Linked DNA regions of Mytilus edulis. The protein of the gene in region 1 purifies or fractionates together with the protein of each later gene. This does not show direct contact. Links are inferred from orthologs where the notes say so. Each region holds a gene or a part of one and is shown in the gene's direction. Other genes may lie near its edges. The genes, in order: tRNA pseudouridine synthase Pus10-like and protein Abitram-like.

Region 1 (6,563 bases):
TAAAATTTGAAAAAAAAATCATTTGTGATCTGTTTTGAAAAAAAACACCAAAAAATGGGAAACAACTCTATTTTACATGATGGTATGAAATGAAGTAACCTCCCTTGAGTAGTGTTGGTGACTGATGGAATTTTATATAAAACAATGACAAATATGTCATTTTTATCAAAAGCTAAATGAACCACAGAATTGTACATAAATTTATGATATTGATAATACAAAGCAACCAAAAGAAAATACAAATACATGTAAACATGGTAAATGTACAGAGAGAACAGGAAATTTACAACTTTTATATGAAGATAAAAAAAACTAGAAAAAAAACTATTTATCAATCAGGGCTCACGCTACCAGGCGACTTGGGCGAAGTAGTCGCCTTCCCGACCGTCACTTCGCTTTCCCCAACCCCCAAAAGCGAAAACAAGTAGCCCTGTTCTTGACGATACTCGCTTTCAGTCGCTTCCGTCATCGGACATTTCAATTTTTACCAAGTTGATGAAACATCAATTTTTTATTGATAATTTAAGAAATTCAGACATAAACAGTTCATTATCTTTAGAAAAGAGGTTGAAGCATTGTCTTCGCAGTGTGGAGCAGGTTATTTGATAAAAATACAACTTTTTATCACTTCGTGCATTTCCGCAAGTTCCGGTGCTTGTTACTCGAAAACGTACATCAACCAAAATTTCGGCAGCAAAATAAGTTTGTTACTTCATTTAAACGTGATAAAAGCTGCCTCCAGTAAATGTTTAATCCATTTATTGCATTAAAAACGTCATGTTCCTTTCCAAATAACTTGTCAAACATCGTTTATTTTTGTAAATTTTCTTGCATTCGTCCGCCATTGACCGATTTCTAAACTATGGATATGAATCAGACCAGCTATGACCGAAATCTGTACTTTTACAATAATTACTACGGACGCACGGATGGAACAGCTGACAGAAGAATATTGATCCCAAAGGGAAAAATTACACATTCCACACGCATTAAGAGACTTTTGGTTACATCTAATTGATTGGTGTATATAATTTCCTATATTTTTTATGGATTGTTTCAAACTATTGATTAAAGTTGCTTACCTCTAAGACTATTACACTAATATCAATATATTATGGCCCAGCTTAATAACTTTTATATTTTTTTATCAGAAACACTGAATTTCATACACACGATAATTTTCAATTAAATTGTAATTGATATATATTATAATTTTCTTTACATTTTTTAAAATAAAAAAATATTTTTTTAGTGCTAGATATTTATTTGGTAGTTTCTCACAAGAACCTTAGTAAAAATTCAACAACTTTTAATTTCAAATGTTACTTTAATTGTAATTTTTTTACTCAGATATGAATTGAACAATATAAAAAGAACATTATTGACATATGGCCCTTTATACTATTGTAAAATCCAAACATTGTAGCGCACCACACAAATAAGCACTTCTCTTTCAAATCTCACCACTTCTCCCTATCAGTTTCAAAAAGAGAAGTCACTTCTCCCTATAATTCTGAAGTAGTGTGAGCCCTGAATTCAATGAGACACTATGTTTGGCTTGTAATTTCACCTTTCTATATATATTCAGAAAGAGCTAAATACAATGTACTGTATCATAATAAAAATCACTTCATAATGAACATGGTCTTGTTAGTTTCAAGTTGATGTGACTGTAAAATACCAAAATTTTAATCTGATAAAAGAAGGAGAGTTCAGAGATACAAACATGTGTACAGACATGGAAAAAATATTGGCACTCTTGTCTTTTACAATGTGTTAAATATGAAAAATGGCATTACAGTAAATGGACCACTTTCAAGTTTGTTTGCTTTACCATTAAAAAACATAGGTTTTAGTGAAAATCATATGTGCCTTTTAGGGCAGCATAACTTCTTCCCCATGTTGGGAGAGCAGTTGAAAAAAAATAATGCTGTATTGCCGAGTTATTTGACAAATTAAATTCTCATAATTGATAATCGGAAATTGCAATTAATTACCAATGGAACAGCTAATTGTGCATAATGAGGCTTTATAAACTTAAAAGTACAGGGATACATGCAACCTCCTCTATCTAGAATGATGTCATAAAAAGGATCTTGAGGACATTCCTTGAAAGTATTCTATTTCTACTAATGATTTAAAATGAATATACCAAAGACAGAACATCAGTCATCACTATTACATTCCTTGTCCTTTGAAATAAGCCTCTAGATTTCAAATTTTTGTCTTGAATATGCAAGAACTATGTGCCTTTGGACATACAGCGAATAACAATCAATCATTTCATTACATGTATTTACAACATTTATGATTGGGAAAAATAATAATATCTGATATCATTTTATATACTCTGACAACTGTAAGGGTAGAAATGCCCTTTAATGTCAGGCATAAAACAATCGTTTCTGGCTGCTATTTGCGCCATATTGGTTTAAAGTTTTCTGAGATTTCGTCAAAATTCCCTTTTTTTATTCGTCAAAGGTCTGAAATTATTCATTGTAAACAGCATTTTGGGGGAAGATAAGTCCCAATTTTTTTCTATTGTCTAAAAGTATCGTCATAAACCAAAATCTACCGTTATTATCATTCGGCAAAAATTTTACTGTTATTCGTCATTAATCTGTTAATGACACTTGACATCAAGTTGCCCTCATAACGACCCTCAGGCCTCACCTATAAGATCAGTTTGAAAGAATCAAAGTTTTACGATTTTTAGGTGCAATGACATTGGAATATAATAATTTTTCTTAAATGTTGCAGCAATATAAACACTAAATTTCTGCCTCAGACTCACTCACTCAGTCTGATGTCCGGCTGCAACAATTTTCATTATTTTGTACATCCAAAAACATTCAGTTTCTATTTTCATCATGGTGTATTTTCTGCAATATGTGAAGTGTATATATATGTGTCAAATTCTTTTACAAAATTACCGTATTTCTGTTTGATTTTATGGTAAATGCATATCTGGTAAGTCTCTTCTGGTAGGGTTTGGTCAGTCCAAAACAGAAGGGAGGTAATTTCAAAACTTCCGGTTACAGAATCGCTAAAGAACAAGATGGCTGCGCCCATAATTCAAGTTCGTGTAACTTTTAAATTAGCTTTTATATGTTGTTTGCGCAATTTCATTTGATAAATATCTCCAAAAGTGTTATTTCTAAGGTCAATTTATGTTTATTAACATAATTTCTTCTCCTTTCATTCTTGCAATATGTTAAACACGTTGTGTGATTATATTGGGAAGACGGTATCGGGTTATTTCGCCCCTATTATATATTCGCCCAAGATTGGCCCGTCCCAAGATCTTATTCGCCCTAGTTTTAATTGATAAAATATACTTAAGTATTTAGGTTTTAATGTATGTTGGCCTTTCAATGATCGACATTTGAACTCGCAATTAAGTTTGGTATGTTTCTCAAAAGCTGTTTTTACCAGGTTTTTTGTTTACACGAATTGTAGCTTGTGGAGACAGAATGGGCTATTCCAGAAATACCCCCCCCCCCCCCCCCCCTATGGAAGACATCAGTTGTAAAAAAAAATTCCATGGAAATATTTTTCATCATTGCCAAAATTTTCAGGAATTCCAGAATTTAAAATCATTACACTACTTAAAAATACTGGAATTTTCTTCATAATTCAGATTAGTCCAAATAATTATGACGTCTTGAAAGGCTATTATAATGACGTCGAAGTAAGGTGTCAAAGAAAAAAATTATAATAGCCTTTCAAGACGTCATAATTATTTGGACTAGATTCAGATTGCATCAAATTTTATTTAAATCTATTCACTGAAAACTCAATGTTACGTACATGTATATTATCTTATTTCCGTAAAGATACATCAGAATTGATTTGAAAATAAATCAGACAAATGAGTCACCTGTGTTTTTCTTGGAAGTGCAGTTGTCCAGTAAGTTCGCCCATGTGTAGTAGTAGTACACATGTATGGAGGACCGGTTTACTATAACTTAACCAACAAGAACATAAGGAAATGATGTTTTATTTATGGACCACTAAGATAAGAACTATAGAAGAACAAAATTTTAAAAAAATCAATTCAATATGACAAAGGAATTGGTGAAAAAGACGAATAAACCAAAAATGTAAAAAAAAATAAAAAATCTCAAGATCAGAAAATAAAGAAAAGTAAAAAAATATGATGTTAAAAAGATAAGAATGTCAACAGCATGGTTAGTATTATTCTCATAAGAGAATTATCATCATTCAGTATTCTGGCAGTTAAAGACACCATCATCCTTGTCAATGGGTTTGAAATCTGTGCAGTAAGTAGTGATTTTAATAAATAGCCCAAAATTTTATTTCATAGTCAATATATTTTATTTCTATTCAATAGAATCTAAAGTAAATCACCAAAATACAGAAAGCATTTTTCAAACTTGATCACGCATATTTCTTAAAGATACATGATCTTTATAAAGATTTTTTTAATTTTTGTTATTTTGGCTTCCATAGTTTTTAAAATTGAATTATCTGCCTTTGATGTAGATATGATGCAGTGTTCTCCCCAGGCCCTTAAAGGACCACGGGCCTGCGATGTATAATTTTCTACCGTGGTGGTATCGGTCTTGCCGCGATGTATAATTTTTCACTGTGGTGCTAAAATTATCGGTAAAAAAAATCATATAACGGTAAACCTTTCCGTGGGGTATAACATTTCAGATGAAAATTGACCAGTTCAAACCAGTTCAATCCAGTTCTGACAAGAAGATTGTTTACACCATGTGATCGATTTACCTTTTGAGGTTAACCTTGATGATTGGATTTAATCGATGTACATGATTCTTGTGTTTTAATTAATTAAGAGATCATAACTTAATGATCACAGACTTATGAGACTTTTGAGGGACAAGCAGACATTTGTTAATAAACTCTATTACTCCAGCCTTTGGTCATAAATGATTTGCGTATTTTTAAAATTTGAGTTACTTCCCCTGATTTAGCTTATTACAACAATGTGCTCCTAAAATATTATCCATCATTTGAAATAGAAATAAAGTACAAATTGAATGCAAAATTATATATATAAGGATGTTACCTCAAGGATAAAAACTTTCTTTGAATATACCAACAAAAATATATTGCAAATTATTTTTGACAATCATACTTTTATTAAAGCACAAACATTTTATATTAAATAGGTAGTATATCCTTTTATACATCTAATGACTGAGCTAGGGCAGTATGTTGATGAAAACATCCATTTCATATATATAGCTGAAGAGTATTAAATAATCAACTTTTACAAAATAAATTTACAATGATTGGAACTCAGCTAGACATGACAACCTGTCACAAGTGTCCACATAGATAATATAAGTATACTCTTCATGTCCATTATGAAGTAACACAATAATGATTTTAATAATAATTTTATTGATGTCTAAAGCTATGGAAAATAGTATTTAATTTACTAACGGTTCTACATTAAAATTTAATCTTGTTTAACGTTAATTGTTATGGTGTAATCTAACAAAAATGGGGAATGTGTAGTGTAACTATACAAGTATAAGGACAAAATTGGCTTGATCAAAGTATAAAAAGTGACTAGTTAGAGACTAAAAGTGCTTTCTGTTATTTATTCTTAAAAGATATTAAAGTATACAAACTGTTTGATTTACTTTTTTTACCAGTATTTTTTTTTACCCAAAGTCATACAGTAAACAAAACAAAAGACAAAAAGGTAATGGCACAAAAACTAACAAGAAGAAAAAATAAGCGATGCAACGCGACACAACATATTGTACAAATCATTTCGACACGAGTTACCCTGGTGCTATCCCAAAATCCTGGGGAGAACACTGTATGATGTAAACAAATGGTTTTCTTCGATGTAAAAATTATATAGTAGATGAAATTTATGCACCACTTAGGAAAGGGCATAATTATCAGATGGGCAGAGTTACAGACGTTTGTAATTACCAAACACCACTAGTTCAAGAAGAATTAAGAGTTGTTGATAAAAAACATCATCTGTGTGCAACATCAACCAAACTAGATTTGCAATCAAGAATAGTTATTTATTATTTGGATAAATAAAAAAAATCTTTGTCAAACGCCTTGATCATGTTGATTTTACATGAGATTTTCATTTCTTTCGCTAGACTAAGATAACTTCAAACGCTGACTTACTAAGGGAGATAACTGAAACATTGAGGGAAATTGGATGTTGTCCAAGATGCATACTGAGGTACATTGGGGAAAGACAAGGAGATGTTTACAGATTGACAACACAGGTAAATAAACAATGTAAAATATTGTTTACAGACAACACAGGTAAATAAACAATGTAAAGTACTGTTTACAGACAACACAGGTAAATAAACAATGTAAAATACTGTTTACAGACAACACAGGTAAATAAACAATGTAAAATACTGTTTACAGACAACACAGGTAAATAAACAATGTAAAATACTGTTTACAGACAACACAGGTAAATAAACAATGTAAAATATTGTTTACAGACAACACAGGTAAATAAACAATGTAAAATACTGTTTACAGACAACACAGGTAAATACACAATGTAAAATACTGTTTAC
Region 2 (6,563 bases), on another chromosome or scaffold:
GGTTGAGTCAGTAATTATTGAAATGTATAGTTTATGAAATTGCGAACTTTATTCATATATTATATGTATACTAGTACGTAATATGTTCTACCTTCTTGTGTTCTTATCAGCAGAGTACATAAAAGTACACACAAACTTATTTTTGGTTACTCAAGTTAAAAAAAAAAAACATAAATAAGGCCGTTAGTTTTCTCGTTTGAATTGTTTACATTGTCATATCAGGGCCATTTATAGCTGACTATGCGGTATGGGTTTTGCTCATTGTTGAAGGCCGTACGGTGACCTATAGTTGTTAATATCTGTGTTATTTTGGTCTCTTGTGGACAGTTGTCTCATTGGCAATCATACTACATCTTCTTTTTTATACAAACAATAACTGTAGATTTTCTCTTGTGAAACATTTCTATAATTTAGTCATACATAGAAAGAATGTTAACTTTGTTGTTACCATAGCAATTATATTTCTGATATTAAATAGTTAAACTTTATATCAATTTTTGTGTTCGTTGTATTGATACAATGGTTCACTAGTAATAATGTATTCCCGTTGTAATCTATTGTAAAATATACACAATACATAAAACAAGGATAAAATACGTAAAAATTTGATATTATAGCTTAATCGGCATACCATTATTATGACGTCATAACAAAAAAACGGCAAGAGATAACTATATAATTCCTGGTGTTTTATAAGCTCCATATCATAGATATCAATTGAAAGAAATATCAATAGATTCTGAAGTGGGGCCAATTTTGCCCCTTATAGCACCTTCTCCTTTCATTTTTAATGGCTACCATGTATTATTGTTTGACAATGTTGACTCAGTATTATTAAAAATGTCTTTTTACAAAAAAATGTTTTAGTTGCCTCTGAAATCATGGAAATGATGAAAAATGATTTTTATTTGTTCTGTTAATATAACTTCTGTTATCATGGTTATTGTTAACAAAAGTGTATGTATCAAGTCTAGACTATGACAAGTCAATCCACAGTTATTTTCATATTAACATGATTAAGGATTATTTGAAGTTGTTTTCCTAAAAAAGAAAGCTCCTTTATATTGATCATGTATACATATGTATTTTCATGATTTTAATCAGAATAATATAGCCATGATAGCTTTTGACCATGTTTTTAAGTATTTTAATAAATTTGCTACCTTTTGTCATAATGATCATGTTTGTTGCGGTTTTTTTTTAAATGCATGCCTCTGCACCACTTATTTCAAAGTAAAAGATTCATCATGGAAAACATGAGTAATTCATGGTACTGACCTGTATCATTCATATCTCTTATTCTGGCTTCAGCACACCAACAATTCTCCTCAACCTTTCTAAAAAATTTGCCATTCTTCATCATGTTAGCCACACCTGGACAGCTATGATCCATCTGTACCCAACCTCCATATCCATATCTCTAAAATCAAAGAAATTTTTATCATTGGTGCCCAATTTCCATAAATGTATCTCTAAAATCCAAATTATATTTATCATGTTTATCATTCGTAAACACAAATTTCATCTTGTGTCCATTTTACTGTGGATTCATTATTATTCCTTAGATACCAACTGTCATGGATTTTGTGGGTACATTGAACCAGGAATTTAAATGTTTAATGAATAACAAATTTTCTATAAGTTTGTATGCAGACTTTTTCAAAACCACGAATTGAAATCTAACATTTACAAAAAAGGCAAGTTTTCCACAATCCACAAAATTTGTTTTGTTGTCGTTTTGTTGAAATTGGTATCAACAAAAATAAACAAATCCACAGCATGTTCACTTTTAAAAGAACTTCACTAGAGCTTCTAAAACTTAGTTGTTATCATAGCTGATCACTACATATACTACATTTGTAATAGGAACATGACAATTAAGATGTCTAGTAAATTTTCTTCATTTAAAATTTTCAAAAAGGTATCTAATGTTGTCTTGAGAGATTTTTGTGGTTTTATTAGGTTTTTATAACTAATTATACACTAGTATTACATTAAACCATGAGTATTTGAATTTATTTCTTCTAACATGTAAACATAAATATAAAACATGAAATATGCATACATGTGTACCTGTTTCTATTAATTTAAAATTTTCTAGATATATAACATGTATAACATTGTTTTAAGAATTCTATTTCAAATTTATAGGTTGCATTATCATCATGATCATCGTATCTCATATAAGAATATAACATCAAGGACGTATATTAGTTATATGTTAGTTATACGTCCTTGACAACATACATGTATAAAAAGTAAAATACTAAAAATACTAAACTCTGAGGAAAATTCAAATCAGAAAGTCCCTTGTAAAATGGCAAAATTAAAATCTCAAAGACATCAGTAGAATGGATAACAACTGTCATATATTCATGACTTGGTACTGGCTTTTTCTTCAAGTAGAAAATTGTGGATTAAACCTGGTTTTATAGCTAACTCAACATCACACTAGTAAGACAGTCACATCAAATTCCATTATACATTAACATGTTATATGAGGGTATGGATGCCCTTTACCTTCAGGTTCATACATTCGTTTTTATTCTTAACTGCTGCTACATGTAGTACTAGATTACCAACACATGCATTGTTTTTCAAAATGACCTTTTTGAAGGACAATTTGGCATTCTATTTTAGATATAATTGCAAAATGATTTTACATATTAAGAAACTCAACCTTTTCTAAATCAGGCCAGCTTTTTGGTAAAATGTGTGTATGGAGATCGATCTTCATATTTAGCCAGGTCAGATGGTAAAGGTGAAGGCTACTACAATAAACTTTAACCAATCAAAGCAATCAGTTTTGGAGGCAGGGTCAAATAAGTCGTATCCTCTCCGGAAGACTTTCTTTTTCTACTGTACTTCCAACTTCCGGTTAAAGTGAAAGTAGACCACATTTCAATATTGTCAGCATCTCTACTGCCTTGCATGTTAATTAAGCCTTCTTAAAATCTCTAAGGTTATGGAAACTGACAAAGAGCATGTGATCAATGCTCAATCTGAATCTAAAACTGTAACTGGCAAAACTCACTTGAGTGTAGTCGAAAGATACTATAAACCAAAGTATATTCTAGGTAATCTACATTTCGAGTATTTATCTTAAACAGGTCAGGAATAACCACCAATTGGTGGATTATACCTCAATTGACGTATAATCCACCAATTGACATATAATGGTATAGACAAATTGACATATAATGGTATAGACCAATTGGTGTATAATTCTTTGTTTTTCAAAACAAATTATTCCACCAAAATGAAGCATTGTTTTCTTAAAGGCAGTGTCTGCGCGTACCCGCATGCGGGTACGAATAGCAAAATTGCCGTTCGTAGGCTACGCGTACTCACATCCGGTTTTATAATAAATTGCCATCGGATCGGGAATTAAACGTAAAATATATACAGAAATTATCGCAATTAGTGAATAAAATTGATCAACTACTTAGAAGTTTTGTAAACATTTATATATTATCATGATTATATGTAAGTCAACAGTTTTTCTCGGTTAATAAATATACTTGAAATGGGAAAAGAGTGATATACATGTGGGGCAGACATTCTCAAAGTTATCATGAATTGGCTGAACAATTTGTTCAAAAGTATTAGTCGATTAATTTTATACAATTGTATATATAAAAACAAACTCGGAGTCAATTGCAGCTGCAGAGAAAAGAAGAACTGGAAACACAAAAAATAAAGAGGAAATCAAGTTTTACAGAATATTTTTTTGTATTCACGGAGGCAAAAAATTCTAAACAAGTTCGACAGGAAAAATTAAGGCCTAATACATTAATCTGAAAAACAAAGGCCGATGCCAATAATCTTCTATGAAAGCTTCGTTAATAAATAACAAAATGTTTGACGAAAATGTAAACCTTCAGCGCATCAAAAAATAGTTTGCCTCTGAGGCGTGGAAGCAACTTAAAATTCGGATATTATATATTATAGGACTATAGTTTACAGGGACTGTAATCATGGTAATGTATATTTCATTTTCAATCAGTGTGTATTTAATTGCAAGGTTTATTATATATTATTAACTTATAAATACAATTCGAAAATATTATTTGTCATATACCCTTCACTCGTTCTACTCGAAATCCCCATATTATCGATAATTTCTGTATATATTTCACGTTTAATTCCCGATTTGATTGCATTTTATTATAAAAACCGGATGTGGGTACGCATAGCCTACGAATGTCAATTTGACTATTCGTACCCACATGCGGGTACGTGCAGACACTGCCTTTCTTAAAACCATATTATGGTATAAAAACTTGTCAAACATTCCTAGTTTAGTATAGTGACATAACATATTGCATTTAGTCAATAATTGTATTTGAAGTTTCTTCTATTGTTATCTTGTCAATTCTTGATTGGCAAATTTACCTGTAATCACCTGTCAATGGACATCATTACTGTCTGCAGTCGTGTGATCATGAGTACAACTCCACAGGTGAATGGAGCTCTTTGTTAATACTTGACTTTCATTATCAAAAGTCAATCATGGTCAATAGTACAAATGTTTCAACAAAAGAATTGCTGTACACATGCATTCTCAAGAGATGCAGCAAGCTTGGACAAAACTGAAACTTTCGGAGGACTCAATAAGCAGTCAGGGGACTTACTGAAATAAGTGATTTTTAAATCACTTATTTGAGTAGCAAATTCAAGGTTTTGTCACAAATTAGGATTTTGTAGTTTTTTCAAAATTTTAAAAACATAGGTTTAAATAACATCTTCTAATTAGTAAAATTAAAAAATATGAACTTTTTGCTTCTTTTAATAACCCTTTCAAGGCGAACAATGCATTGAGGCATCCCCGTAGCCAGGCCGAACAATGCGTTGAGTCATCCCCGTAGCCAGGCCGAACAATGCTTTCATGCATTGACAATCACGTGATGAAAATAATTTTCGTCTTTTTAACTCATTTCCCCCGTAAAGCTGCGTTTAACCCAATAGATATCCAGGTTTTCAACAAGCTTGCATGTTACAGTATAAGAATACGTATTCTTACTGGGTTTGACACCTAATATTTACCACAATACAATGAAAGATCGGTAGCGTCAACAAACAAAATAAGTCATCACCATTTTGTACAATACATGTGATGCGAACATGTGACCTTTTAGGTCAAGAAAATGTTATTTGGAAGGAAAGTCAAATATAATTTCATTATTAATTTGATTTATATAATGATTAAAATTACGAAAAATGCTTTTAAAAACTCCACGGAGAATAAAAGTCAAGTATAAATAATTGGACTTCCGTGGGCGCGGCTATTCCATTTTCCGACGAGTGCAAAAGGTCGCACTCCTTTTATGGAAAATCTAAATAAAACTATCCAATCACTTTTCTCTCCCACTTGCTCGGTGTCAAGGATGCCTAAATCATAGTAAATATAGTAAAATGTCGTCTGTAACATTTTAAAAATACAAAAATGTCCGACACTTCAGAGGACGAGCTTGAGGGGTTTTCGGCGGGTGAAATTGAACTTGCTTGCCAAAGATATCAAGTACAATTAGCCCAAAATGGCATAGGAGATGATTTCCTGATAAGTGATGTTGAAAGTGATCTGTCAGATGACAATAATGATGAACCGCAACTTGTTGACGTAAATAATGCCGGTGATGCCCCCAACAATGATGGATGGCACCAAGAATTTGATATTTTTGAAAGAGGTCTCCCCCATCTGTTCCAACCTAGAAATACTACTGGCCCACAAAATATATTAGGCCCAGAGAAGGATATAATTGACTTTTTCCAACTGTTCTTATCTGACAACCTTTTACAACAGATAATTGAAAAAACTGATAGCTATGCAAAGATGCAAAAAGATATGAATCCTGATCTAAACAAATCAGCTTGGTCTTGTCCCTCCTTGCCCGAGATGAAGGCTTTTATTGGTATAACTTTCCTAATGGGTATTGATGTAAAGCCAGATATAAAGTCTTACTGGTCTAAAGATTGTTTGGAAACCCCATATTTTGCCACAGTTTTGGCACGTGACAGGTTCATGCAGATTATGAGATATCTACATTTTACTGATCCTCACCAGCGAGTTCCACAAAGAGGGGAGCCTAAATACGACAGTACTTACAAAGTCAGATACTTTATGGACGCCCTTAACCAACAAATGAAAGATCAATATATACCAAAACGAAATGTATCGATAGATGAGTGTATGATACCATACAAGGGAAGGGTTGCATTGAAGCAATACATGCCTGCTAAACCAACAAAATGGGGAAGCAAGGTTTATGCCTTTGATGCTATCATTTACCTGAAAATTCTATTTTATTTGAAAAAATGCTATAATAATAGCTTTACATAATGAACTGATACTTTCTTCAAAGATTTTTCCCAGCAGTGGGAGTATTTTTCCTGTGAAGTTCAAGGTTTCATCTTTCAGATTATGTAATATAATTCTACTGTTCGCGATAAAAATTTCACTGTTCGGGGGTGTTAAAATTAGTGGGGGTTATTAAAAGAATGATACTTAAAGAAGTATTTTTTGGGAAGGAAATTGAAGTTTGATACTTAAACAAGTGATTTTT

Evidence for each region.
Region 2: the proteins of tRNA pseudouridine synthase Pus10-like (region 1) and protein Abitram-like purify together in Homo sapiens (affinity purification with mass spectrometry; 3 studies listed by BioGRID and IntAct, counting the BioPlex papers as one, with this or other methods). This does not show direct contact. The link is inferred for Mytilus edulis from reciprocal best matches to the Homo sapiens genes PUS10 and ABITRAM.

The regions. Positions count from the first base shown.
Region 1 is NC_092346.1:6,421,006-6,427,568, reverse strand, and holds the start of tRNA pseudouridine synthase Pus10-like, read left to right. Parts: upstream 1-3,016; 5' UTR 3,017-3,058; coding exon 3,059-3,079; intron 3,080-6,122; coding exon 6,123-6,254; intron 6,255-6,563. UniProt on the Homo sapiens protein: Protein with different functions depending on its subcellular location: involved in miRNA processing in the nucleus and acts as a tRNA pseudouridylate synthase in the cytoplasm.
Region 2 is NC_092345.1:85,786,916-85,793,478, reverse strand, and holds the start of protein Abitram-like, read left to right. Parts: upstream 1-2,857; 5' UTR 2,858-2,965; coding exon 2,966-3,077; intron 3,078-6,563. Other genes in the region: 2-amino-3-carboxymuconate-6-semialdehyde decarboxylase-like, read right to left, coding at 1,279-1,420, 2,681-2,737. UniProt on the Homo sapiens protein: Actin-binding protein that regulates actin polymerization, filopodia dynamics and increases the branching of proximal dendrites of developing neurons.